Linked DNA regions of Arabidopsis thaliana. The protein of the gene in region 2 interacts with the protein of the main gene of each other region in a pairwise test. Each region holds a gene or a part of one and is shown on either strand. Other genes may lie near its edges.

Region 1 (5,724 bases), on a different chromosome or scaffold from region 2:
CTCTATATCGTGAATGGTATGCGGTAATTATTATGGTTTGTTCCTTTTTATGGCAGAAAAAGGAAGCTGACTGATCATTGGAGGAGGTTTGTACAGCCTACTTTAATGTGGCGTTGCAAATGGATTGAACTCAAATACAAAGAACTTCAGAACCAAGCACAGAAGTACGACAAAGAAGTTGAAGAATATTACCAAGCCAAGAAGTTGGAGTTAGAAAATGTCAAATCAGAAGAACTTGGAGTAAAGGCTTTACCTCCTCTTCCATGTTATACTCAGAAAACCCGACTCATGAAGAGGAAAACGAGAAAGCGAGTTGAAGAGACCGCTGATGTTACATCCTATGCATCAAACCATAATCTCTTCTCTTATTATGGTATGGAACTAGTTTGGTGTTCTTGTCTTTCTGGTCGTGATTAATGTTCATCTACCATTACTTGTCTAATAATTTCTTATCTTATTGTTTCTGATCTTTGTATAGATTGTCGGAAATCTTTGGCCGATATTGCTCTTAATGACAACTCCCGCAACCTAGGTATGGTGTTCTAAAATCTCAACTATGATATGATATTACTCCTTTTGAAAACTTTGATCTTATAAAATATTTTCTGTCTTGGGTCATCAGATAAGAAGAATAAGAGCGCCAAGGATGAGACAGCTTTCTCTGAAGAGACACCGCCTCTCGAGTTTAGAGAAGGCGATGCGTACTTGGAACAGATACTTTTGAAAATTGAAGCAGCAAAGTCAGAAGCCCGTAACTTGAAGATCCGCGTAGACAAGGTTTTGAGTGAAAATCCAAGTATATTCCCTCTGGCTAACACAGTGAATCCACTTGGAGCTGCTGATGTATACACCAGCTCAGAACAACAAAAGCCCCTGCTGGCTATCAAAAACGAAGATGAGAAATCGATCATCTCTGAAGAAAAACCGGTGAAATCTGCTTCAGTTTCATCTCATCACGTCTCACCTGAAGACGACGAGACAACAGATATTTTACTGTCTGAGATTCTAGCATCAAAGCGAAGGGAAGGGAAATCTATTATTCCCGATAAGAATCTAGTGAAGACAGAACAAGCTTCAATTGAGGAAGGTCCATCAAGACCTGTAAGTTTTCCGCTAACTCAGTGTAACTTTGCTAAACCCTTTTGGTCTCATATGCCATTCTAACACAACGCAGGTAAGGAAAAGAACACCGCGCAATCGTGAAATCATTACGAAGGAAGAGAGTAACCCAAAGAGGCGTCGGGTTTCAAGAGAGAAGCCAAAGTCTAATGCTGTGATGGCTTCTAGGTTTTCCAACAGGAAGAGAAAGCGAGGAAAACGAAGGTCAGGCTCTGCCGGGTTACGAAGAAGATCCTGAAGAAGGTTTGGAAACTTTCAAGTAACTAATCGGATCTTGTGTTAAAAAGTAAAAATTGTTCATTCTAAGATATTCTTAACTCTTAAGCCTTTAAAGTACAAAGAAATATTTATAGTGGCTGTGTTTTGATTCTTCATGTCAACAATATATTCAAACTACATCAACTTTTGAACTTTACTTCTATAATTTAGAGTGTATATATTTTTCTCTATTTTGTATTATCAATCAATCATGTTTTATATCTTGTCGGTGCTAAGTTTTTTTTGTTTGGAAAAGAAAGAAAGCTTAGTTAAAACACTATTTCAAATACATTCGTCTAGAGAGTTTGGCAGAGACAATGGCTAAAATGGTGACCGTAGGGACGAATATAACATCAGGTATAAGTTTGATTAATTTTAACTGAGGAACATTCTCTCCTGCTCTCTTAGCCGCCATTGCCGCCGGTGGAGATACTATTCCGGTGATCATAGTGACATCATCGAGTTTACTTGGCTTCACGCTCTTTGACATGAACTCAATGAACAATTTTTTCTTCTCTTCTTCGTCTTTCGCTTCCTTCCACCGCGCGAAACAAACCTGTTTAGATCATTCAACATTGTGTTAAAAATATAGAGAAATTATTATAAGATTCTTTGTGTGATTTTGATAGAGGAGAGGACTCACCTTTATTTGGTCCGGGGTTGGGAAATCGAAGTGCCTGCCTGGTAAAGCCGAGTTGAAGTTGCTGCACTCAATAGATAAAATTCCTTTTAAAAAAAAAAATGTTGGCCAACATAACCATTGTTTTCGAATGATCAAATAATGAAACAATCCTTACTTAAAGATGTCTAAAACAGCAACGTGGAAATCGTCGAAGTTGTTGATAGCTTTTTGGGTAAATTGTTTGTAGAGTGAACCCATTACCATATTCATCATCTGCGTCGGTGGTACCCCTAGGCCAAATATCGAAATCTATTTAGAAAGATATATAGGACGAAAATTTGTCAAAACGGTTATATAACGATTTGAGTCGATAATTGTTAGGTTAAAAAATTGCAAAACCTTTTCCGAGAAAGCCCATTGAACTACCCATATTGTCTAGAAGTTAGTCTTTAGGAAGAAGAAAATGTTATGTTTATATACAAATTTGTATTGGTGTGTGGAATCAGAGACTTGGCTTGGTGGGTTTGTGTCTTTGCAAAGCCAAGAATCTTGAATCTCTACACAAGACCTTGGTTCAAGTATAACTTGTGCTTTACTTACAAAATCTTAGCCATTTCTTCACAGTTGAGTAATGTACTTTTAATAAAAGCATGGGGAATATGACTTGTCCTCTATTCTCACTTTCTTTTTGCCTACCATATTAGATATCCATTAATTTTTTTCTTTTTCAAATCTAGTTCTCTAAGGAACAAGACAAAAATATGAATCTAGCTATTTGAAAGGTACAATAAAAAGCATTGTATTATATGATTGGTTGGATCTATACATGTTTAGTAATAAATTTTAGACAATTCATTTATAGCAACTTGGCCACTTGAGTTGGGTATCAGATATGAATTCAATAAATATTTACCAACTTCACATTATAAAAGACTAAGATCCAACTAAGTAGCTGACACTTTCATTCTCGCATAATTATACTCCAATTGTAAATATTTGTTTAAAGAAACACATGTAATTGGTTTCAAACGTAAATATCAACATTTGATTTACTAACACTTTAAACATTTAAAAGACTAAAACAAATTATGTAACTGCTTTGCTTATTGTTACATAGACGTTACTTACACAAACATTTTATTTTAGAGTAAATGTCCATAATTCTGCATTAAAATTGAATGTGTCATTTTCAATAAAGAACTCGGACCCATCACTAAAGGACTTTTGTCTGCAAAAGAAAAGAACAATCAATGTGTAAAACAGTATTTTCATCACTGACAGATATGAATTCTTATTATTTCCATATAAATAAAATAAAAGAAAACAAACTGTATAATCAATTAAATAATACTCATTACCAAATTCGTAAAGAAAGAGACAATGGTAGGGTCAAAAATATAAAAACTAAAAAATATCAGAGGTGAAATGATAAATAATTTAGAATGCCATAACGAGAACGGCCCATGCGGTTGCAACCGCTCCCACCGCTACATTCCTCAACACCCTTGTGCTCGCTGCTCCGCTCTGCATTCAATTCCATATTTTCATTTTAGTTAATCGAATATGTAATTACTAAATCAATATAACAAAAATTGAAAATCTATGTTCACTGTTTTGAAATGTCTCATTGGTTATTTTTAACATTGATACTCGAACTTGTGACGGTAGATAAATATCAACATTGTTGATATAAGCTAATGTACCTGATCGTCGGCGGAAGGACCGGGAGAAAAAGCGTCGGAGTTAGGTCCGGGAGATTCAGTCGGTGGTGCAGGTGGACCGAGAAGTTCCGGAGCCGGAGCAGGTGCAGCTTGATGCTTTTTCGATTTCTTTGTAGTCTTCTTATGCTTGCTTGGAGCAGGAGCCGGTACATCAGCAACCGGAGCGGCTACCGGAGCTGGAGGAGAATCAGCTACTGGTGCTGGAACCGGTGGAGAGCTCACTGGAGAAGAAACCATTGGTGCAGGAACCGGAGGAGAGCTCTCTGGAACAGGTGTCGGTGGTGGAGACGACTCGCTAACAGGAGCCGGAGATTTTGGTGACTCAACCGGTGAAGAAGCCGAAGCAGTTGGAGTTTTCGCCGGAGCCGTAGTGGGAGAAGTAACGGCGGGGGATTTAGTAGGGGAAGTAGTTGGAGCAGAAGGAGTGGTGGGAGATTTGGTCGGAGAAGAGATAGGAGATTGGCCACCGACACCGGCGACGACAATGCAGATCAATGTAACTGTTAGGAGGAAATTGCGATCCATAATTTTGTTAAAATTTGGATCAAACAAAAAAAAAAAAAAGAGTTTGAACTTTGAAGTGATGGTTAAAGTACTGATGGAGTTTAACCAAGCGTGTTGTTTGTTTGATGTAAGAGAAGTGAGTTTTATATAGGCGATGAGGAGAGATCTGGATCGTTGGATTAAAAAAGGATCACAGACAGATGTAGCCGTTGAGAAACAGAACATCATATCCTGTATCTATTAATGTAGGATTCAATACTTTTTTCATTTTTATTTTACAGAATAGCTCTTTTACTTTTTTCTTGTGCGTTTTTATAAGGATTTTTTTTTCTTGGCATTTTTCTCCTGTTATATTCTGCAATAAATTTATTCGCCAATGGTGGGTAGATTAGCATGTGTTTTGTTGAACATATGATCAGATATAGAAAATCAATTAATAGTAATTGTTTTTACGTTAGACATTAAATTGGTTATACTATAAATCACTAGTCTTGTGTCAACATAATAATTGGATTTGAAATTGATACCAATGTCGCTCACAAATTTTATCATTGTTTAATAATTATGATATTTTATATTATAGATTATATCACACGGTCGAGAAATTTCCAACTACTAAATTGTCGGGAAATTATTAGTTAAAAAAATAGCACAATATAAGGTACATAGTATAATTGAGATAAATTTTTGGGGTACGACACATGGAGTCTTGGATTAGTATTATTATGTGATCATCACGGGTGAAATTATTATGACTTGATGCATCATGCGTCTATAAATAAATAACCTTAATAATGAAAAATGATTAAACTCAAGTTCAATATAATGCAATCAAAATAAGACAAGGAGAATGAGGAAAAGAAAACGTAAACAAAAAAAAAGAGAGTCTTTGATCGGAAGTTAGAGGGAGAGGACAGCTGGTTGATTGATTTTGCCACTTTGGATTGGTGCCCACACGGATTTGTTGGCACTTTCTTCTATTTTGGCTCGTTTTAATCTATAATTTGTTGCCACCGTCACCGTAATTGCCTGAATACTCTTTGGCCTTTTTTCATTCGAGTCGAAATGGAATCAAAACCGTTGCCAATGAAGAAACGTATTGCTTAGGAGCTACGATTTTGATTTCTTTTTGTTGCTTCTCACTTTGTTCCAATCCTTCTTTCAATGACTTTATGTAGAATATTGAAAAGTATTCATAAGCGTTTCCTTATATTTATTATTTTGTGTTTTGCCAGACTAGGAGAAAACACGTTTCGGTCTTAAGCCATTCTTAATACTTTTTTTTTTTTGAGTTTTTGAATATAAAGACAATGAGTAAGTGGAAATTCTGAGAGCGGCGCGTCGGTGGAGAGAAAGCCCAAGCTAATGGTCGTTCGTTGACTTTGTTAAAGACTTTGACGAATGAGACAGTGAGTGTTATAACGATAATAAATGAAACTCGAATCTTGTAATCATTTTTTACTATGAAGCAATTATTTTGAGATTGATTTCAGAAACATG
Region 2 (6,896 bases):
ACTGGTCCTTCATTTCAAATGTTGTGTTGTCAAAAGCTTGACCGTAGGAATGCTTCGTGGTGTTCGTTAAAACCAAGTAACTATTTTCGTTGAAAACTGCAGATCCATCCAGGATATATGTGCCATGGGAGTTGTAAGTAAATGAAAACAGAGTAAGCCACTGAACAAGAACTATTTGTAAGACTTTGACTTCACTAAACATGTTCTTGTTCGTTTTTTTTTTTTGGCTTATGGGAAGGTTTTGATCGTAATGTGATATTTATCAGAAGAATTATGTAAGAAGATACAACATAAAAATAAGTAAAACTGTATGAATATGATCAAGCCAATATAATGTGAACGAAACTGGTCATGTCATAAACATATGTAGTTTGTATTTAATTACCCACATGGCCTAGATGATCAAACCGCAACACAATAAACAAATAATCTTCTGATCATTTTTCAATTAATAATAGCAATTATTGTGGGATTGTCAGAGTGTAGAAGCGGACCCATGTTAGGTTTGCAAACCTATTTTACTACTGAAATTTTGCTATATTGGTTATGAGATTATGACATCCTATTTGCTTTTTGTATTTTTTTTCTTCTTTTTACAAAACATTATTGTTAATTATTCTCTTGAATCTCTTCTTATCGTTCCATTAATGTGTTGATTAGTCTTAGGACTTAAACTATTGTTATTGTTGCTGTTTACCTATTGCTGTTAATTATTTATCTAATGAATATTCATGTTATATGCGGCCAACGAACTAAGATAAGTAAGCAAACTTAAGAGAGAAAAAACACATGTACACTATTTAGTAATTACGCACTGTGCATGGCCAAGATAAAGTCGTAAATCAATTATAAGAAAACAAATCTTCTAATTCTTGCTAAGATTAAATAGCGATTATAGTGGAAAGCATAATAAGCAATAATCAAAAAAACTTTTCTTCTCAGATCTCTACCAAAGAAATAAAAAGGTCAAAAAAGCTTCTCTTATCTTTTCTACAACCTAATCCGTCGAACATTACGGAGCGTAGAAATGGATAAACAATGTAAGTTTAACAACCAACGTGTTGACCATAAAATGTAAAAAAAATAAGTTTTTTGACATGTTTTAATGTAAAGTTTAACAGATTTTGTATTGGTCTACAGAAAAAAAAAAGTTAATTAAGTTATAAGTCATTGCTCTTGAAAATTTGGTTTTATAAACAAATTCGAACAAGATTACTTTGAAAGCAAGAATGAAACAAACATATTATAACCCTAAAAGTAAACCCTAGAAATTTAGGGATGAATTGGAAGGCATTCATGATTCAAAGATACAGAAACATGTACTCATTTATCAAATAGACGGATACAGAAGCTCCCGATGGAATATAAATGTTTGATCAAAACTAACTTATTTTTATGGTTTCAGCGTCCATGGGACACAAAAGAATTCGTCAACGTCATTGTACCAAAAGAATTCAGATCAAGACCAAGTAGTACTTCCATTGATGTCTCAGGAATTCCTCTCAATCTCTCAGCCCTAACAACATCAAGAAGATTATTGGGAAGATGCGAAACGCCATTCAAGATCTGCAAAACCGCACTCATGTTCGGTCTAATCAATTCAGTGTGATGTGCACACAACAGACCTAGCTTCAAAACAAGCTCAATTTCTCCTCTGTTTTGTTCTTGACGAATACTTTCCTCAGCTGCATCGAAAAGTTTCCCACTTTCCCAAAGCTCTAAAATCCAATCAACAAGAACCGCTTCATTTTCTGCTGCACGTCTCTCAATCAATCTTCTACCACAAACGACTTCAAGCATAACCAACCCAAAGGCGTAAACATCTGTGCTTGTGGTTGCTCTTCCTGTTCTTAAGAGCTCAGGTGCAATATAACCTAATGTTCCCGCTACTCTAGATGTCTGAGGATCAAATCCCTGATCATACAGCTTCGCCAATCCGAAATCCCCGAGCCTCGCATTCATGCCGTGGTCGAGTAGAACATTAGCCGGTTTTATATCTCGATGAACGATGACTTGTACCCATTCTTGATGCAGGTGTAGTAGAGCAGTTGCAACGTCTTTGATGATCTTGAAACGTTGTTCCCAAGTAAGCCGTTCTTGATTTTCATTCGTGTTGCTACGGGTTAGACACCTGTCAAGGCTTCCATTAGGCATAAAGTCATAAACTAAGTAGAGATTCTCTTTATGCTTACAATATCCCAAAAGCCTGACTAGATTTGGATGTCTGAGACGACCAATGGTCGATATCTCGGCTAGAAATTCGCTCATCCCTTGTCTTGAATCATGAGAAGTCCGTTTTACAGCGATCTCTGCATCGGAACCCGGAAGCATTCCTTTGTAGACTTGACCAAAGCCTCCTTTCCCAAGAAGTTGTTTCTCTTTGAAACCCTTTGTGGCATTGAAAAGCTCCTTATAAGAAAACCTATGAGGTCCATTCTGAATCTCCCATTCTTCAAGAACCTCCTTAACCTTCTTATGCCTCACATAAAAGACAAAACCTATTCCGGAAGCGACTAATGCAGTGAACACGGCCAACGTTAAGCAGACCGCTAAAATCCTCCGTGTTCTATCATACGACTTCTTTGGATATGGAGGAAGGGTTGGGATTACGCCAAGGTCCCATGCTGGATATATAACTCCTTCTTCATAGGAAAATTGCATCACATAATAGAGTGCTCCGATCGACCCGGTCGATGCCGTGAAACCCAAGTACGTCTCCTCCAAAAAATAGGGCGAGAGATCTCGGTTCAAAGACAAGAGCGATTTTTGTGGCGGAACAGAGATTTCAGCAGGTAATAAAGTAACATTGAGCTGTTTATCGGTGTGACTATAAACGATGGAAAGCCTCATTACCTTTGTGCTGATCAAAGAAAGCTTTTTGAAGTTTCCATCTTCATCATCATAGTAACCAGCAGAAGCAGAGGCAACAGATGTCAAACCATTAATGTTAATCCCAACATGATTATCATCAATATCTCCAAACTCTTCGTCTTTTCGTATATCTAACTCGATAGCTATAACGTTATTCGAGGCTTTACCGTTGTTTGTCTCGTTAAAGATTCCCAGGTATTGATCGGGGGAAGCTCCGGGAAGGCCTCTTGTAGGAGAGAAAACGAAAGCCATACCGTGTGAACCTTGCTGCTTATGTTCAGGGACGATCCCGAAGATGATGTTGAATGAGAAAGATGAGTTCTTGATGGGAACGGGAGTGTTGTTGAAAGCTTGACCGTAGGAATGCTTCGTGGTGTTTGTTAAAAGGCAATAACCGTTTAAACCTGCAGCTGCAGCTTCTTCCATGAGGAAGTTGCCATTGGAGTTGTGAGTAGATGAAAACAGAGTAAGCAACAGAACGAGAACTATTTGTAAGACTTTATGAGACATGTTCTTGTTTGTTATTTTTTGGCTTATGGGAAGGTTATGATCTTAATGTAATATTTATCATCTCATAAGAATTACGGTCGAAAATAATGGGAACCCAACGTTCTTTTTTTCTTTTTATTTTTGTTATTCTTCGTTAGTAATAAAAAAACATATGTATTTAAGCACATGAGCTAGATCAAGTCGTAAAGCAATTATAGTGGGACTGGTAGAGCGTGTCGTCAAAAGACAGAACTTTTCTACGATCTTAATACTTTGAAGTATTAAATTACTAATAACAACAGTGTGAAAAGCATAATTAAAAAGCAGCAATCCAACAAAGCTATTTTTCCACAACCATTTTGTAGAAAAAACAACGTATGTTTAACATTTTTAATTTAGTGTAGATTCTAACAAATTCTCTACTGGTCTGAAGGCAAAAGTGAAGTTATATGTCACTAATTTGTCATGGTTTGATCATTATATATTGAGATTAATCCTATGTAGTGTAACAACATCAAAGTAGTTTAGAATGTTTTTGGTTATATGTCACTGATTTGGCAATTCACGCCATTTTGTTTTGACGCCATTGCTCTTGAAAGTTCGGTTTCTTAAACAAATCCAACAAGAAAACTTTGAAAGCAGAAAATACAAAACATATTATATGTTGAGTCCTAAAAATTTAAGATATAAGAACTTGGGGATGAAACGGAAGGCTTTACTGATTCAAGATAAAGAAACCCTAATGTAGTGATTCATCAAATAGACGATACAAAAGCTTGAATGTAACTGTTCATTCAAACTAACTTCTTTAACGGTTTCAGCGTCCATGGGACAAGAAAGAATTTGTTAATGTCATTGTACCAACTGAATACAGATTAAGACCAAGTAGTACTTCGATTGATGTTTCAGGCATTCCTCTCAAGTTCTCAGCTCTTACGACATCAAGAAGATTATCTGGAAGCTGCGAAACGCCATTCAAGATCTGCATAACCGCACTCATGTTCGGTCTAATCAGTTCAGTGTGATGTGCACACAACAGACCTAGCTTCAAAAGAAGCTCGATTTCTCCCCTGTTTTGTTCTTGACGGATACTTTCCTCAGCTGCATCGAAAAGTTTCCCACTTTCCCAAAGCTCTAAGATCCAATCCACAAGAACTTCTTCATTTTCCGGTGCACGTCGCTCAATCATTCTTCTACCACAAACAACTTCAAGCATTACCAACCCAAAGGCATAAACATCAGTGCTTGTGGTCGCTCTTCCTGTTCTTAGGAGCTCAGGTGCGATATAACCAAATGTTCCCGCTACTCTAGATGTCTGAGGGTCAAGTCCCTGATCATACAGCTTTGCCAATCCGAAATCCCCGATCCTTGCATTCATTTCGTGGTCGATTAGGACATTAGCTGGTTTGATATCTCTATGAATGATGATTTGTACCCATTCTTGATGCAGGTGTAGTAGAGCAGATGCAACATCTTTGATGATCTTGAAACGTTGTTCCCAAGTGAGCCGTTCTTGATTCTCATTACGGTCTAGATACTTGTCAAGGCTTCCATTGGGCGTAAAGTCATAAACCAAGTAGAGATTCTCCTTATGCCTACAATATCCCAGAAGCCTGACTAGATTTGGATGCCTGAGACGACCAATGGTCGATATCTCGGCTAGAAACTCGCTCATGCCTTGTCTTGAATCATGAGAAGTCCGTTTTACAGCGATCTCTGCATTGGAACCCGGGAGCGTTCCTTTAAAGACTTGACCAAAGCCTCCTTTTCCAAGAAGTTGTTTCTCCTTGAAATCCTTTGTGGCATTGAGAAGCTCCTTATAGGCAAACCTATGAGGTCCATATTGAATCTCCCATTCCTCAAGAACCTCCTTAACCTTCTTATGCCTCGTATAGAAGACAAAACAGATTCCCGAGGCGACAAACACAGCGAACACAGCAAGCGTTAAGCAGACCGCTAAAATCTTCTTTGTTCTGTCAGACGATTTCTTCGGATATGGAGGAAGGGTTGGGACTACGATGAACTCCCATGTTGGATTCTCAACTTTTGGAGTAGCGTACGAACTCAACATATAATGAAATGCTCCAATGGATCCAGTCGATGCCGTGTAGCCATAATACATCTCCTCCAAAAAATACGGGGAGAGATCTCGATTCAAAGACAGCAGTGGTTTCCGTGGCGGAACAGGGATCTCAGCCGGGAATAAAGTAACATTGAGCTGTTGATCAGGATGACTATAAACGATAGAAAGCCGCATTACCTTTCCGCTGATCAAAGAAAGATTTCTGAAGATTCCATCTTTATCATCATAGTAACCAGCAGAAGCAGAAACAACAGATGTCAAACCATTGCAACATGATTATCATCAATATCTCCGAACTCTTGGTCTTTTTGTATATCTAACTCGATAGCTATAACGTGGTTTGATGATTTACCGTTGGTTGTTTCATTGAATAATCCGAGGTACTGATCGGAGGAAGCTCCTGGAAGGCCTGCTGTAGGAGAGATAACGAAAGACATGCCATGTGAACCGGACTGTGTATGCTCAGGTACTATTCCAAAGAGGAAGTGGAAGCTGAAAGACGAATCTTTTATGGGAATGGATTCGTTGTTGAAAGTTTGACCGCAGGAATGCTTCTTGGTGTTCGTTAAAATGGTGTCACCAATGGAGTTGTCAGCTGCAGAGCCCTCCAGGGTCCAGTTTCCATTGGAGTTGTAAGTAGATGAAGACAGAGTATAGAGCAGAACAAGAACTATATGCAAGACTTTGAGTTCACTAGGCATGTTAGGATTTTTTTTGTTTTTGCTTATGGGAAGAAATTGATCATATGAGATATTTTTATCATCTCATTGAGAGTTAAGTAAGAGTATAAAAGAATTCCAAACTGCAAAAGTAGGGTCGAACAAAATGGAAACGAACGTTCACATGGATTTCCGCGTTGTTCATATTAAAAATTTATGTATTTACACACACATGGGGCCTAAACCAAGTCGTAAAGCAATTAAGATAATAATCTTCCAATCTTCATTGGATTCAAAGCAATTATCGTGGGATTGGTAGAGCGTGTCCTAATCCTAATATTAACCGCTGACTCTCTGAGCATTAGAAAATATATGGATCAAAATTTCAAAAAGACGGGATTTTTCTATGATCTTAAAACTGTGTGAAAACTGGAAAACATCAAAAAGTACTTTAAAAGCAATAATCGAACAAAGTAAGTTTCACATCCAAAGTTTTGACCACAAAATTTGTATTAAAAATAAGTTTTTGACATGTTTTAGAGTTAGATTCTGATTTTATTTTTTTCTATTGGTCTACATGAAAAAGTAAAGTTATATCACTAACCTATCATCGTTGATCATTATATATGAAAATACTCATGAAAGTTAATATTTTTTAGGTTAACAAGAAAAACAAACAAGGGATCAATCATCTTGTTCAATTCAATATAATTAAGCATTGGGATTTCCAACAGAAAATGTTGAGTAAAACATAGACTAGTGTTGGATATCCAAAATAGAACTCAAACCACATT
Region 3 (5,748 bases), on a different chromosome or scaffold from region 2:
ACATGAGCTTTAATGAGCATGAACGTTAATGGACATGGACCTTAGTGGACATAGACACTATTTGTCCAATATCGAAATGGATATTATTGGACTGAGCTAATGGACATGGACATCCCGCTTTGAGTATCAAGTAACAAGAAAAAAATTTGAATCAACAAGAAAATATAAACCATAGAAAAAGAATATGTTTAAAGAACTCAGGAAAGAAAATGAAGTTTCATAGAAAAAGAACTAGTATCAAATTCCGATATAAATTATACCATTTGTCTCCAGCTTCCTAAGCCGGCAATGTACAAACCCTTCCACTTTCGAATTTGTTCGGTTAGAAATAGATTTATATTCCACAATTTCTTGCACCTACGTTGATGCCTATATATATAGACACACTTAAATGTATGTGGAATTTGAAATATATATTGATATAGTAAAATGGGATGTGTTTGCAGCAAGCAATTAGAAGGAAGAAGGCAAGAAGACATTTCGCTTCTTGCTTCTCAAACCTTTTGTAAGTTACGTCTACTTCAATCATCCACCACTTCCTCCTCCTATATATTATATTGCATGGAGAAAGAATATTATTACACGAGCTTGTAGATCAGATAACATCTAAATTGTTTTGGGTTTGCAGTTAGCGAGGCTGAGGTTGAAGTTTTGCATGGATTGTTCATCAAACTCACTTCTTGTCTTAGCAACGACAATCTTTTGACCAAAGTTAGAGTCCAAACTAATTTTTCTTCCACAATGTGAATAATTTTTTTTTGGTCAACAAAATGTGAATAATATAACATCTAAATTTTATACTAGCTAGTTATAGAAAAGTTGTGCTTTTGTCATGTCAAATTTGGTTGGCTTTTCCAGGAAAAATTTCAATTTATCTTGATCAAGAATACCAAAAAGCGCAGTCTTTCTGCAGAACGGGTAATTGAATTTGTTATATTAAGCGAAATAAATAAATAAACTTCGATTGATGTTGTTTCTCTGAAATATGCAGATTTTTGGATTATTCGATATGAGAAACGATGGGGCTATAGATTTTGGAGAGTTTGTACACACACTCAACATTTTTCACCCAAACTCATCACCAAGAGATAAGGCCATATGTATGCTTCATCACTTCTAATGTGTTTATTCATTTATTCCATGTTATTATTATTTTCTATATAGCTAGAGATCAATGTTATTAACTATAACCACAAATACATCTGATCACTTGTTTAAAATTAAACAGTTGCATTTAGATTATACGATACTCGTGAGACTGGATTCATTGAACCGGAGGAGGTACGTATGTAAACTTTGTCTCAAAAAAAAGAAAAAGTCATGATTAATTATATTTGACGGTTTTCCTCGACTTGGAGAAATCTATAGGTGAAAGAGATGATAATAGACGTTCTAGAGGAATCAGAACTTATGCTATCCGAGAGTATCATTGATTCTATCGTGTCTAAGGTGTGTATAACGCTTAAGTTTATGAGCTTGATTTAACATTATAGTGATTTTACTTACTATTTTTGTTTACTTATATTTGGCAAAGACATTTGAAGAGGCCGATTGGAAAAAAGATGGGATAATAGATTTGGAAGAATGGGAGAATTTTGTTGCCACCTATCCTTTGACACTAAAGAACATGACTATCCCTTTCTTGAAGTAATTCGTTTGTTTGTTTTTCCTAACCATTTTCTTAATATTCGCTGATAAATTGCATGTTTTAGATACATCTTTCGTTTTACAAAAAAAGTAATATATATACATCTTTCAAAAACAGCTTTTATATATGTGTGTTTATGCATATATTACTATTATCTTCTTTTATTTTATTTTTCTTGTTTTATAAATCGAGATAATTATTCTAAAATTAACTTTTATTGTACAGGGACATTCCGAGGATTTTCCCAACCTTTCTCCGGTAAAATCAGATGAGGTGTTTGCTAGAGGTTTTTGTTTAAAAATATTTTTATCCGAAAATCACATAGGTAATTTGTTATAAGAAATATAGAAGGTTAATTATTATATAAACATATTAACTATCGAAAGAAATCTTTAATATTTAACGAGGATAGAAAGTAATTGTTTTTAACCACAAAGCTAAAGCTGTGATATGAAAACTTAAAAGCAAAGATCGGTTCGTGAAGACAAAATGGGGTTTTGGAAAAGGAAAAGAGGAAAAAGAAAAAGAACAAACGTGTGAAAATTCGAGAAAAATGGTAACACAAAAAGAAATTGGACATGATATAAGTTGCCAAAACCAAAGAGAAAAAATTGACATGATATACCAATCAAATTTTTGAATCAGGTCAACTAATCAAATTCACAACAATCATCCACAATATTATTTAGATTTGACGCTTTCACTGTTTCACATGAAAATTTTACATTTGACGCGATGACTTGTGGAGTCACGATCATTTTAGTCACTCGTTTTAAACGGATGCTTCATTCAAAAAATGTAACTTATATTCAGAAGACTCCTAACGTCCGATTCAGATTTACAAAAAAACAATATCATTGAATCGGAAAACAGAAAAGCATAGTAATATTCTAAGTATTTAATTATAATCGTGAGGAAATAGTTCCGTAATAATGGGGGAAAAATATATATATGATAAAACCAAAATGAGATTTGCCTGAAGATGCCATATGTCTGATCAAACACTCTGAGCTGTTGTGTCGATGAACTCACCATATGCCAAGATACGCTATTAGCGACAACACATTTGTATTGTCAAATGTCATTAATTAACATCCACAGGTCCAACAACAGAGAAACAAAATAATTATCACAAGTAAAATATAAAATTAGTAATATACTTGTACTTATAATTTTTGGCTTATGCCTTTTAATTTATTTTAACACTAGACTCGACGAAACTCATCACTAACATGACCACAAAAAAAAAAGATTACAATTCTAAAACACAAAGATTAAAAAAGAAAACATAACGAAGTAAAATTAAGACTAGACATCAACTTTACAAGTTGAAGGAGCGAGAAGAGGAACTTGTCCGTTAGAAGATGGATTAAATCTCAACCACACATCACATCTGGCGTAAAATCCATACCGTCCAGTCTTAATCGCACCAGCTTTCCAACGTAGCCTCCCAAAAATCACCACTCTCATCAAAACGACGCCGTAAGCTTCATCATTTTTTAAACCATTAGCTACTTCCGGCGAGACTGGTATACCGTTGCCTCCCATCACCGGAGCTATCACAACCGTAGATTTATGTCCTAAACGAAGCGGTGGTAGTGGAAGCGGCGGTGTTATGATCTGATCTTTGTACGTTACGTACATAGAGAGCTTGTCGTAGTGAATGGAGACTCTCCGGTTAGGGTTTCTTGCTAAAACGCTGAACTGAACGGAGGTTGAGATTAACGGCGGCGCTGTGAAATTCAGGTCGTAGATGGCGGCTCCGACGACGGTGAGACGTGGTTTATGTGGACGGTAGACGAGCCAAAGGATTAAGGCTATGATACCTAGTATGACAAGGATGGTGAAGATCGCGCCGCAGATTGCGCGGCGAGCATCTCCACCGCCTCCTCCGCCTTCTTTAGAGTAAGATTCTGGCGTTGAAGAAGCGGAGGGAGCGTTCTTGTGATCTGCTTTGGCTGCGTGCTCTGCTTTTGCTTCTCCTTCTCCCATGGCTATACTCTACAGATATAAGTGTTAAAGTGTGTATGTATAGGTATGTGTGTGTCTATACGAGAATCAGAGGGTTCGGTGAAGAGTGAAGACTCTAAAGAAGGAGGAGGAGAAGAAAGAAGATAAGTAGATGCAAGGTTTTGTCTCTTTTCTAGTTAATAAGAGTAAACAGTCTTCTAGAGTACAGTTTTATTAATTGTTTATTAACTTAGAAAGCTTGTAGTTGTAATTATGTGTTAAAGCTAATCTTTTTATAAAGTAGCCGTAAATTACTACTGTTTTTACATTGTGATTTTATTTTGTTATAATACTTAATGTAATAATATAAGATAGAGAAGTACTTTCGAAAGACTCCAAATCTCGGTGCAACCGTTCACGTGACGGATCTGATGAGTGATGAATTTTTTAAAAATGAAAAATCCAATGTAACGTGTATACATATGGCTATACATAATCAAATACTTTGTTGTCAATGATTGACTTATTTGGTGACAACTATGGTTTCGTGCAACGTGATAACTATCACTTTTTGGCCGTGTTAATTTTTAAAAAAATTAGAATGAAATTTATCAGGTTACGGCCTGTCAAAGTTAGCAATAACCTAATATCTGTTTGCATGCCAGAATACGGTTATGTAGAAAGAAAATTAAATTATCATATTTCACAATTCTTTATCAACTGTATAAAGCAATTAATAATAAATTAATTAGATACCACATGTGTCATATTTGTTCTAATGTTTAGAAAATAAAAGTACAAGTCTTTTATGTCCACATCTCCAACAATACTTCTGACCAAATTCCATATATTATTAGTAAGCTTCCAAAATAAATAATAATCACATTTAAGAAGAATCTGTTATTTAATCACACTAACTGAGATACCGCACCACCGACACTGTAGTCACCGACAATGCTGTGGATGCTACCTGGGCCTCAATTATAAGCCCATTATAAAATTGGGCCTACACTAAAACTATTGTGTACAGAGAGATATTTGATAATTTGCTGACTGATACAAGTCTCACTTCCAACGGCCGATTTATTAAAAAAAAACTCCGACAAATGATTCGCCGGCCGATCTACGACTTCGCCGCCGTTTTTCGCCACTTAACTTCTCCGTTATCGACATCCTCGCGTTTTCTGTTCTATTCTTCATCTGAACATGAAGCTCGAAAACCGATTGTCTCGAACCCTAAATCCCCAATCGGGTCTCCGACTCGGGTTCAAAAGCTCATAGCTTCGCAATCGGATCCTCTCCTCGCCAAGGAGATTTTCGATTATGCTTCTCAACAGCCCAATTTCCGCCATTCTCGATCTTCTCATCTAATCCTCATTCTCAAACTCGGCCGTGGTAGATATTTCAATCTTATCGACGACGTTCTCGCCAAACACAGATCAAGTGGTTATCCATTAACCGGAGAAATTTTCACTTATCTGATCAAAGTCTACGCAGAAGCAAAGTTACCGGAGAAAGTCTTAAGTACGTTTTACAAAATGCTGGAGTTCAATTTCACGCCGCAGCCAAAACATCTGAATCGGATTCTAGATGTTCTCGTAAGCCATAGAGGTTATCTCCAGAAAGCTTTTGAGCTTTTCAAGAGTTCACGGCTTCATGGAGTAATGCCTAACACGAGAAGTTACAATTTATTGATGCAAGCTTTTTGTTTGAATGATGATTTGAGTATTGCATACCAACTGTTTGGTAAAATGCTTGAGAGAGATGTTGTCCCTGATGTGGATTCTTATAAGATTCTGATACAAGGGTTTTGTAGGAAAGGTCAAGTGAATGGTGCTATGGAATTACTTGATGATATGTTGAATAAAGGATTCGTGCCTGATAGGTTAAGTTACACGACATTGTTGAACAGTTTGTGTAGGAAGACACAGCTTAGAGAGGCTTATAAGCTTCTATGTAGGATGAAGTTAAAAGGTTGTAATCCTGATCTTGTTCATTACAACACGATGATTCTCGGGTTTTGTAGAGAAGATCGTGCGATGGATGCTAGGAAAGTTCTTGATGATATGTTGTCTAACGGTTGCTCGCCTAATTCGGTCTCGTATAGGACTTTGATTGGAGGATTGTGTGATCAAGGAATGTTTGATGAA
Region 4 (6,948 bases), on a different chromosome or scaffold from region 2:
CCATTGGTGTTGTTAGGAGGTTCGGGATAAGCCATGCTTCCATCTCCAACGGCTTTTACGTAATTTGCAGCTATGTCGCTTTGTTGTGCCCGTTTTCGAACTAACATATCTGCTTCTTGAAGTGTCAAGAAATGAATAAGATGTCCACTCTCATCAAGAATTGGGCCGTCCATTATGCAAATAAGCTTATCTGCTCCTATAGCTAAAGCACAAGCTGTAGCAACCTCATAGGTACTGCAGAAGTAAAGTGGAATTAGAAAACTTTAATCTTTCTAAGGTTAATGGAAGAAGCATTTTTCTCTGGAGAAGAGCGAGCATACTTGCAATTTAAGACTTCTCCGGAGCTCGAGTGGCCCAAGTTCCTCAACAAAACTACAGAACCACCGTCAAGCCTCTCACAAATCCGATCTACATCTATCTTCTTTACCTCACCAGTCGCTCCAAAATCAACACCATCAACAACACCTCTTCTCTGCCACAACAAGACCCAAGATAATCATCGGTCATTATGAACGACATTAATAAGACTCAAGGTCGTATGAACAATAAAAAAAGTGGAAAATCTCACTTTTGCTGCAAAGAAGTTACCGGTATCAACCCTAACACCTATATCATGTAAACGACTACGATCACCATGTCTACGGATATTGCAAATAGAAGGTCCAGGAGATAATTTGGCCTCAAGCATCACTGATATTGCTCCTGCAGCTTCTTTAGCAGCCTGCAAAGATGCTGCATCCGTTACTCTGTAACGTCCCACATACGTAGCCTCGCGTCCTGCAACTCACACAGCATTAGACTCGTAGCTAACCAAACCATTTACTTGACGCTAGCAAGGTTTATAGTCTAGAATCTAACATCGTGACAAAGCTTATAATATTCTGACCTCTCTCAGCCAGAAGCTGGTCGATTTGCTCCTGAGTTCCAGGAACTAAAACAAACCTTATTCCTAGATGATGAAGAAACGCTATGTCCTGCACATATATCAAATCACTTCACCTTCTACTCAAATACGAGAACTGAAAACTCAAGCACATTGCAAAGAAAAGATCATATAACAAAGCAAAATAAGAATAGTAACAACTTTAGTTGAGGCAAGCAAACAATCGAACACCTTGCGTGCTTTTTTCTCATAAATCAAAGTATATAATACGGTGAAGAAAGACGGTACCTTCAAAATGGCATCACAAGAAGAGCCGGCGATGATCTCGCCGGAGATAATAACGACGAATGTGCAGCCACGGTGAGCCCAAAGATAAGGCCATGCTTCACGGAACCAACGCACAAACTGTTTGTCGTCAACTGGATGCTCAGCCTCCACATCGCCGGCTGCAGTCACCGCGTAGTCAAACATATTGCATTTCGCCGCCGTTATAGAACTAACCGGCTTAAACCATGAACAGTTAAACCGGAATTGAGTAGGGTTTAGCTTATTTTTTGGTTTGAATGACGAAAAATTCGACTTTGATTGGCGAAAGTGGTAAGGAACATAGTAGCTAGAAGTAGAAGAAGAACCCACTAAAGCTCCTCGCTCCATCTTCCTTAGACTTCGATGAGAGAAAGAATTCAAATAAATACTAAATTGTTATTGTAACTAAACCGGCAGGTGACGGCTGATTACGGTCGGAGAAGGCGGCAGTAGTACCGTAGTGGGACCCACGGTAAGTAGGTATTTTATTTATTGTTTATTTTTCCATATTTTCTTCAATAGTCTTTTTCTATTATTATTTATTGTTTATTTTTCCATATTTTCTTCAATAGTCTTTTTCTATTATTATTTATTGTTTATTTTTCCATATTTTCTTCTTTAGTCTTTCTCTATTACTATTTGACGGAACTCTTTGAATGTCTGGTCGTTACAAGCTTAAGTTGTGTCCCCACATGGAAGTTATTCGGTTGGGTCCATCGAAGGAAAATTGATTGAACCGGTCTGGTCATTCTCTCCCAAACTATAGAACCAATTTCGGTCTGCATCGGAGTTTCGAAGTCGCGGACTTATCAGAGTGGGCTTTTTAAGGAATGTTTTTAGAATATTTACCAGCCCAATCCCATTTTAAGTATGTCCAGATCTTAATTTGGCGAGCCTTTTTATATATGGTGAACAACTGATTCTAATGTGTATGTTTCACTTTTATTAGAGAAAAAATGTGAAAAGATTTAATGTGTATGTTTCACTTTTATTAGAGAAAAAATGTGAAAAGATTCTTAAAAGTATTTATTTATGCTAATTGGCAAAACTAAAACATCAATTTATGTACATCATTTTAGTTCTTCCTCTAAGATTTGATTGATTTGTATTAATGGCTCTGAATACTGATACTAGTTTCGTTGGCAAGTAAGATAAGTGATAACTTTGATAAAGAGTGTCAAATTACAAGTGCCACAATTTGGAGTACGTAACCAAATTGACATAAAACTTGAATAGGTGAAAAAACGAGCCAGAAAAAAAACGAATATCTTCTGCTTATCCGAATAAAACGAAAGTAATATTCTTACAAGATCCTTCCTTATGAAGTAGTGCCAGTAGATATTTTTATCATTGTGATTGCGACCTGTTTGTTGCGATTCATTTATGCCAATTCACGTTACTATTTATGTTGTGATAAAATCTTTTATTTTTCTTCTTCTTTCCAAATACTTAAGTATGCATGATTATTGATCCGTACAAGCATAAACGAAGAGCTATAAAGTCTCCAACGGTAAACGTACGTGAACCAAAATAACAATTCAATATTATGGTTCGAATTATTCTGTGTATTTTATGTAAGAAAATAACCAAAACCGACTCGAAACAAAACAAAAAAATCTTCTGAAATGTGAATCTTTATTTCGGAAAATTCTTAACGATAGATAGTTTTTGCTTTAAAATTAAATCCAAACATAAACTAGAACTGAAATTCAATTCGTTGTCAATATTTTCTATACAAAAAAAAAAAAGAAATCCGACCAAATAAACAAAACCATAAATAGACATCTCCATTTTTAGTTGAAAGATGATTAAATGCAATAAATGTGCCACAATCATAAATTTTTCCTTTTCACCTAATTGAAAATTTTAATCATTAATAAGAAGAATCCATGGAGCACAATTATTTTATTTTTTATTTTTTGCTCTCATATGGTATGTTAAATTAATTTTCCCTTAATTTAAATTCCCCATATCAAATAAGTTTTTTTTTTTTTGAGAAAGACTTGATTTCATAGGAGAAATATTTGTTAATATTTTCGACAAAACATTTTCTCTGTTTGATGTATTTCCATCCTCGTACAATAAATACTCTAGCTATTAAATTCTTAGCCCAAACGAAAATAAAGAAAAATAAAAGGGTCCTACTAATAAACAAAACAAAACTAGTGGTCCCAATTTGAAATATATAAAAATATATAAAATTCATAAAGCTTTGTGGCTTCAGAGCTTCCACTTCCATCGTCGTCTTCTATTTTTTCTTCTTTCTTCGATTTCATACCAAAACAAGAACTCTCTGTTTTCGACAAAAACGAAACCTTGAGATCTATTTTGATTGACTTTTAAGAAAGAGAGAGATCTTTCTTAGAAGATTTTGTCTCGTCGGCATTGAAGATCCAGGTAACAAAATCTCACCTTTTCTCTCCTAATTTCACGAAATCGAAGAAAAATTCTCATAATTCTCTTAATTACTTATCTCTCAATTTCTTAAATCTTACAGGGTTTGTCTTTCGAAATTCAGGTAATTTTCTCAAATCCATTTATGGATTGAAGCTTTAGGTAATGAATGAGCTGAATCTGCATATAAAAATCGATACTTTCATTATCCAGAACAAAACAAGATTTAGCATAAACGTTCAAAATTGAAACTTTGATTCCTAACTTCTTGGAATGATTCAGATTGAGCTAGATTTAGATCTGTATGATTGATATTATGGGTTTGGTTTGTTTATGAGTAGAGAGAAAATGGGTGATGAGGCAGAGATCAAGGAACATTTAAAGCCACAAGCTTCATCTGAAACAATGGACAAGAAACATAATGTGAAAGGGAAGAGGTTATGGCAGAAAGTCAAGTATCAATTGGTGGAGTTTCATTCATTGCCTGCTTATTTAAGAGACAATGAGTACATCATTGGTCATTACCGATCCGAATGGCCGATCAAACAGATTCTTCTCAGCATCTTTACCATTCATAATGAGACTTTGAATGTTTGGACGTAAGTGTTGAATCATGTTTCTTGATGTATCCTTGTTTAAAGTTCAAGAGCCTTGAGTGTGTTTGTGTGTGTGTGTTCTTTGGGATTTGCAGGCACTTGATTGGGTTTTTCCTGTTTTTGGCGCTCACTATATACACTGCAACGAAAGTACCGAGTGTCGTGGATCTTCATTCGCTTCAACACCGTTTACCCGATTTGTTGAGGAAAACAGATCTCCACAAACTTCATTCTGAGCTCATGGCTCGCCTTCCTTCTAGTCCATCTAGTTGGCATGTGATGGACCTTCTTTATAACTGTTTGCCTGAAAGATTTTCTCATGGCAACTACACTGACATGTGTGTTCTGGTAAGAAAAGACTCAATCTTTCTCTCTATTCCTGCAGATTACTGTTTCAAAATGTGGCCAAGTTCATATCTTTGTAATTGCATTGCAGCATTCTGTGAGGGAAGATCTTGCAAACTTGATAGCTCCTTTGATCTTCAGGCCAATTACTCGATGGCCGTTTTATGCATTTCTAGGTGGTGCTATGTTCTGTCTATTAGCAAGCAGCACGTGCCACCTCCTCTCATGTCACTCCGAGCGAGTCTCCTACATAATGCTTAGGCTTGATTACGCCGGCATCGCAGCTCTAATAGCGACTTCCTTCTACCCTCCGGTTTATTACTCCTTCATGTGTGATCCTTTCTTCTGCAACCTCTACTTAGGATTCATAACCATCTTAGGAATCGCCACTGTGCTTGTTTCTCTCCTCCCGGTTTTCCAAAGCCCGGAGTTTCGGGTGGTGAGGGCGTCTCTGTTCTTTGGAATGGGATTCTCTGGCTTAGCTCCGATTCTTCACAAGCTGATAATCTTTTGGGACCAACCTGAAGCCCTTCACACGACAGGTTATGAGATTTTGATGGGTTTGCTTTATGGGTTAGGAGCTCTGGTTTATGCAACTAGGATCCCAGAGAGATGGATGCCGGGTAAATTCGATATAGCAGGACATAGCCATCAGTTGTTTCATGTTCTGGTTGTTGCTGGTGCGTTCACGCACTATAGAGCTGGGCTAGTGTATCTTAAGTGGAGAGATATTGAAGGATGTTGAAGATGAAGATTGAAGATTAGATGGAATCTTTGAATCTTGTTTGTAGTAGCTTCATATAAAAGTTGGATTATGTAAAGTCTTATATGTAATCAAACGTTTAATTGTTTCCTTTATTCAACAAAGGATTTATATTGTTAATCCACATATGTATTACTGGTTAAAGAAGCTGAAGGATTCATATTTTTAGATGATTCCAGTCTTGATTGCAGCATTCAAAGTATCATAATCCAGTGTCAACCTCATATAGCCTCCTTGTGAACCTGACACAAGCCTAATTGTTCCATGGCAGAGGATACTTTGATTCTGATCTTCTTCTTGAAGGTTTCCCCTGATTGGTATACATTTCGAATGATCCATAAGTGTTGATAAACTACAAGTACACAAAATATGAAACAAAATCTATGCACATCAATAAAAATTCAGAAATCAATAAAATTTACTCTGAAAATGCAGAACATTTATAAGTGTTTGTTATTGTTTTCAATATATGAGAGGAGGAGCTCCCCTACTATTTTTATATTTTTAGCCAATGAGAGAGCTCCACTTCATACCCCACTTTTACCAATCGTGCTATTTCACAGCCACTCTCACTCATGTCGCGTTGAGCGCGTGTCTACGATTTCTAAAGGGGTTAATCCACAAAAATCATGCATTTTTGGATCCACGCACCTCATTCTCAAAAACCCATCGCGTGTCGTATTTTTTTTGGTTTTCTTCTCTAAACCAAATTAAACCGAACCGAGATCAATTTGAATTTCAAAACCAATGTAAACCCATCGCTGTGAAAACAAAAAGCTCGGCCACTGTAACAACAAAAATGGAGACGACACAACTTGGAAGAGAAATCAACTCGAAATAGCCAAGAGAATGTTCGTAAACCCCCTCAAATCCGATGCTTCCTTTGATTCCAACCTCCAAAAGCCCATCTGCTCAAACGAGGAGTATTACAAGGTACCTCTATAGAACAAGTATTCACTTCCATTCCCTTACTTGTGTTAGTTCAGCGCTTGAGAAATATTATGATCTTGTTTCAGACTTTCAGCTGTCAAGAGACAAGGCCCGTTTTACTATCAGGTAAAATCATGGTCAGCTTCTTGTCCCAAACCACATTGTTGTAATCGAATTTGTTTGTGTGTCTTTGTTGCAGGTTTCAAGAGCTCATGTAGATAATGATGACGTCTTTCTGCAAGAAGCTCTGGCTAGATACAAAGCATTTCTTATAATTTTGGTTTTCTCGATAAGAGAGGAAGTTGTTGTTTTTGTTGTCTACTCTTGAAGCTTGATCTGGTTTGAAATTCATGTTCAAAAGAAGAGAAGAGGCTGTTTCTCAAGTGGTTGACGAGAAATAGATTGTGTTTTGTCTTCTCTGTTTAGAAGAATGCCTGCTTGGTTAAAAGAGGTGATGATTGAGATTGATCTCAGTTGAGGAGCGTGGAGTTTTTGCTTGGGTTAATAAGCACCTTTGGTCTGTGTTGATTGTGTGTTTCCTAGCTTCAATTTATCCTTGGATGAAACACATAATCAACATGAGGGAAAAGAACTAGCATCATAATGATGAATATGAAGATTGGCTAAGAATGAGAAGAAGATGAAGTGGCGTTTATCAACTCTGTCTTTGTTAATTTGGAGTTGCTATTTAGCTTGGATTTTAGTTCTGAAAGATGTTCTGAAAACCTGAA

What was found.
Region 1: the proteins of AT3G59740 (region 2) and AT4G37445 interact in a protein complementation assay, tested with the Arabidopsis thaliana proteins (one large-scale study listed by BioGRID).
Region 3: the proteins of AT3G59740 (region 2) and AT4G01410 interact in a protein complementation assay, tested with the Arabidopsis thaliana proteins (one large-scale study listed by BioGRID).
Region 4: the proteins of AT3G59740 (region 2) and HHP4 interact in a protein complementation assay, tested with the Arabidopsis thaliana proteins (one large-scale study listed by BioGRID).

What each region holds. Positions count from the first base shown.
Region 1 is NC_003075.7:17,602,490-17,608,213, forward strand, and holds AT4G37445 (calcium ion-binding protein), read right to left. Parts: upstream 2,456-5,724; 5' UTR 2,430-2,455; coding exon 2,399-2,429; intron 2,309-2,398; exon of another isoform or gene 2,290-2,308; coding exon 2,175-2,289; intron 2,082-2,174; coding exon 2,021-2,081; intron 1,934-2,020; coding exon 1,655-1,933; 3' UTR 1,605-1,654; downstream 1-1,604. Other genes in the region: AT4G37440 (uncharacterized protein), read left to right, coding at 57-373, 479-532, 623-1,101, 1,175-1,357; AGP18 (arabinogalactan protein 18), read right to left, coding at 3,437-3,523, 3,703-4,452.
Region 2 is NC_003074.8:22,065,678-22,072,573, forward strand, and holds AT3G59740 (Concanavalin A-like lectin protein kinase family protein), read right to left. Parts: upstream 3,382-6,896; coding exon 1,402-3,381; 3' UTR 1,310-1,401; downstream 1-1,309. Other genes in the region: AT3G59730 (Concanavalin A-like lectin protein kinase family protein), read right to left, coding at 1-202; AT3G59750 (Concanavalin A-like lectin protein kinase family protein), read right to left, coding at 4,178-5,620, 5,707-6,144; OASC (O-acetylserine (thiol) lyase), read right to left, coding at 6,442-6,456.
Region 3 is NC_003075.7:576,200-581,947, reverse strand, and holds AT4G01410 (Late embryogenesis abundant (LEA) hydroxyproline-rich glycoprotein family), read right to left. Parts: upstream 3,921-5,748; 5' UTR 3,641-3,920; coding exon 2,957-3,640; 3' UTR 2,661-2,956; downstream 1-2,660. Other genes in the region: CBL5 (calcineurin B-like protein 5), read left to right, coding at 430-505, 629-711, 859-918, 992-1,100, 1,229-1,281, 1,369-1,449, 1,535-1,647, 1,874-1,910; AT4G01400 (oligomeric golgi complex subunit-like protein), read left to right, coding at 4,705-5,748.
Region 4 is NC_003075.7:17,697,300-17,704,247, forward strand, and holds HHP4 (heptahelical protein 4), read left to right. Parts: upstream 1-3,334; 5' UTR 3,335-3,586; intron 3,587-3,686; exon of another isoform or gene 3,687-3,707; 5' UTR 3,708-3,916; coding exon 3,917-4,182; intron 4,183-4,274; coding exon 4,275-4,527; intron 4,528-4,615; coding exon 4,616-5,269; 3' UTR 5,270-5,653; downstream 5,654-6,948. Other genes in the region: NAGS2 (N-acetyl-l-glutamate synthase 2), read right to left, coding at 1-234, 321-472, 569-777, 887-974, 1,172-1,537; AT4G37682 (hypothetical protein (DUF1399)), read left to right, coding at 6,162-6,220, 6,304-6,343, 6,417-6,545. UniProt on the Arabidopsis thaliana protein: May play a role in abiotic stress response.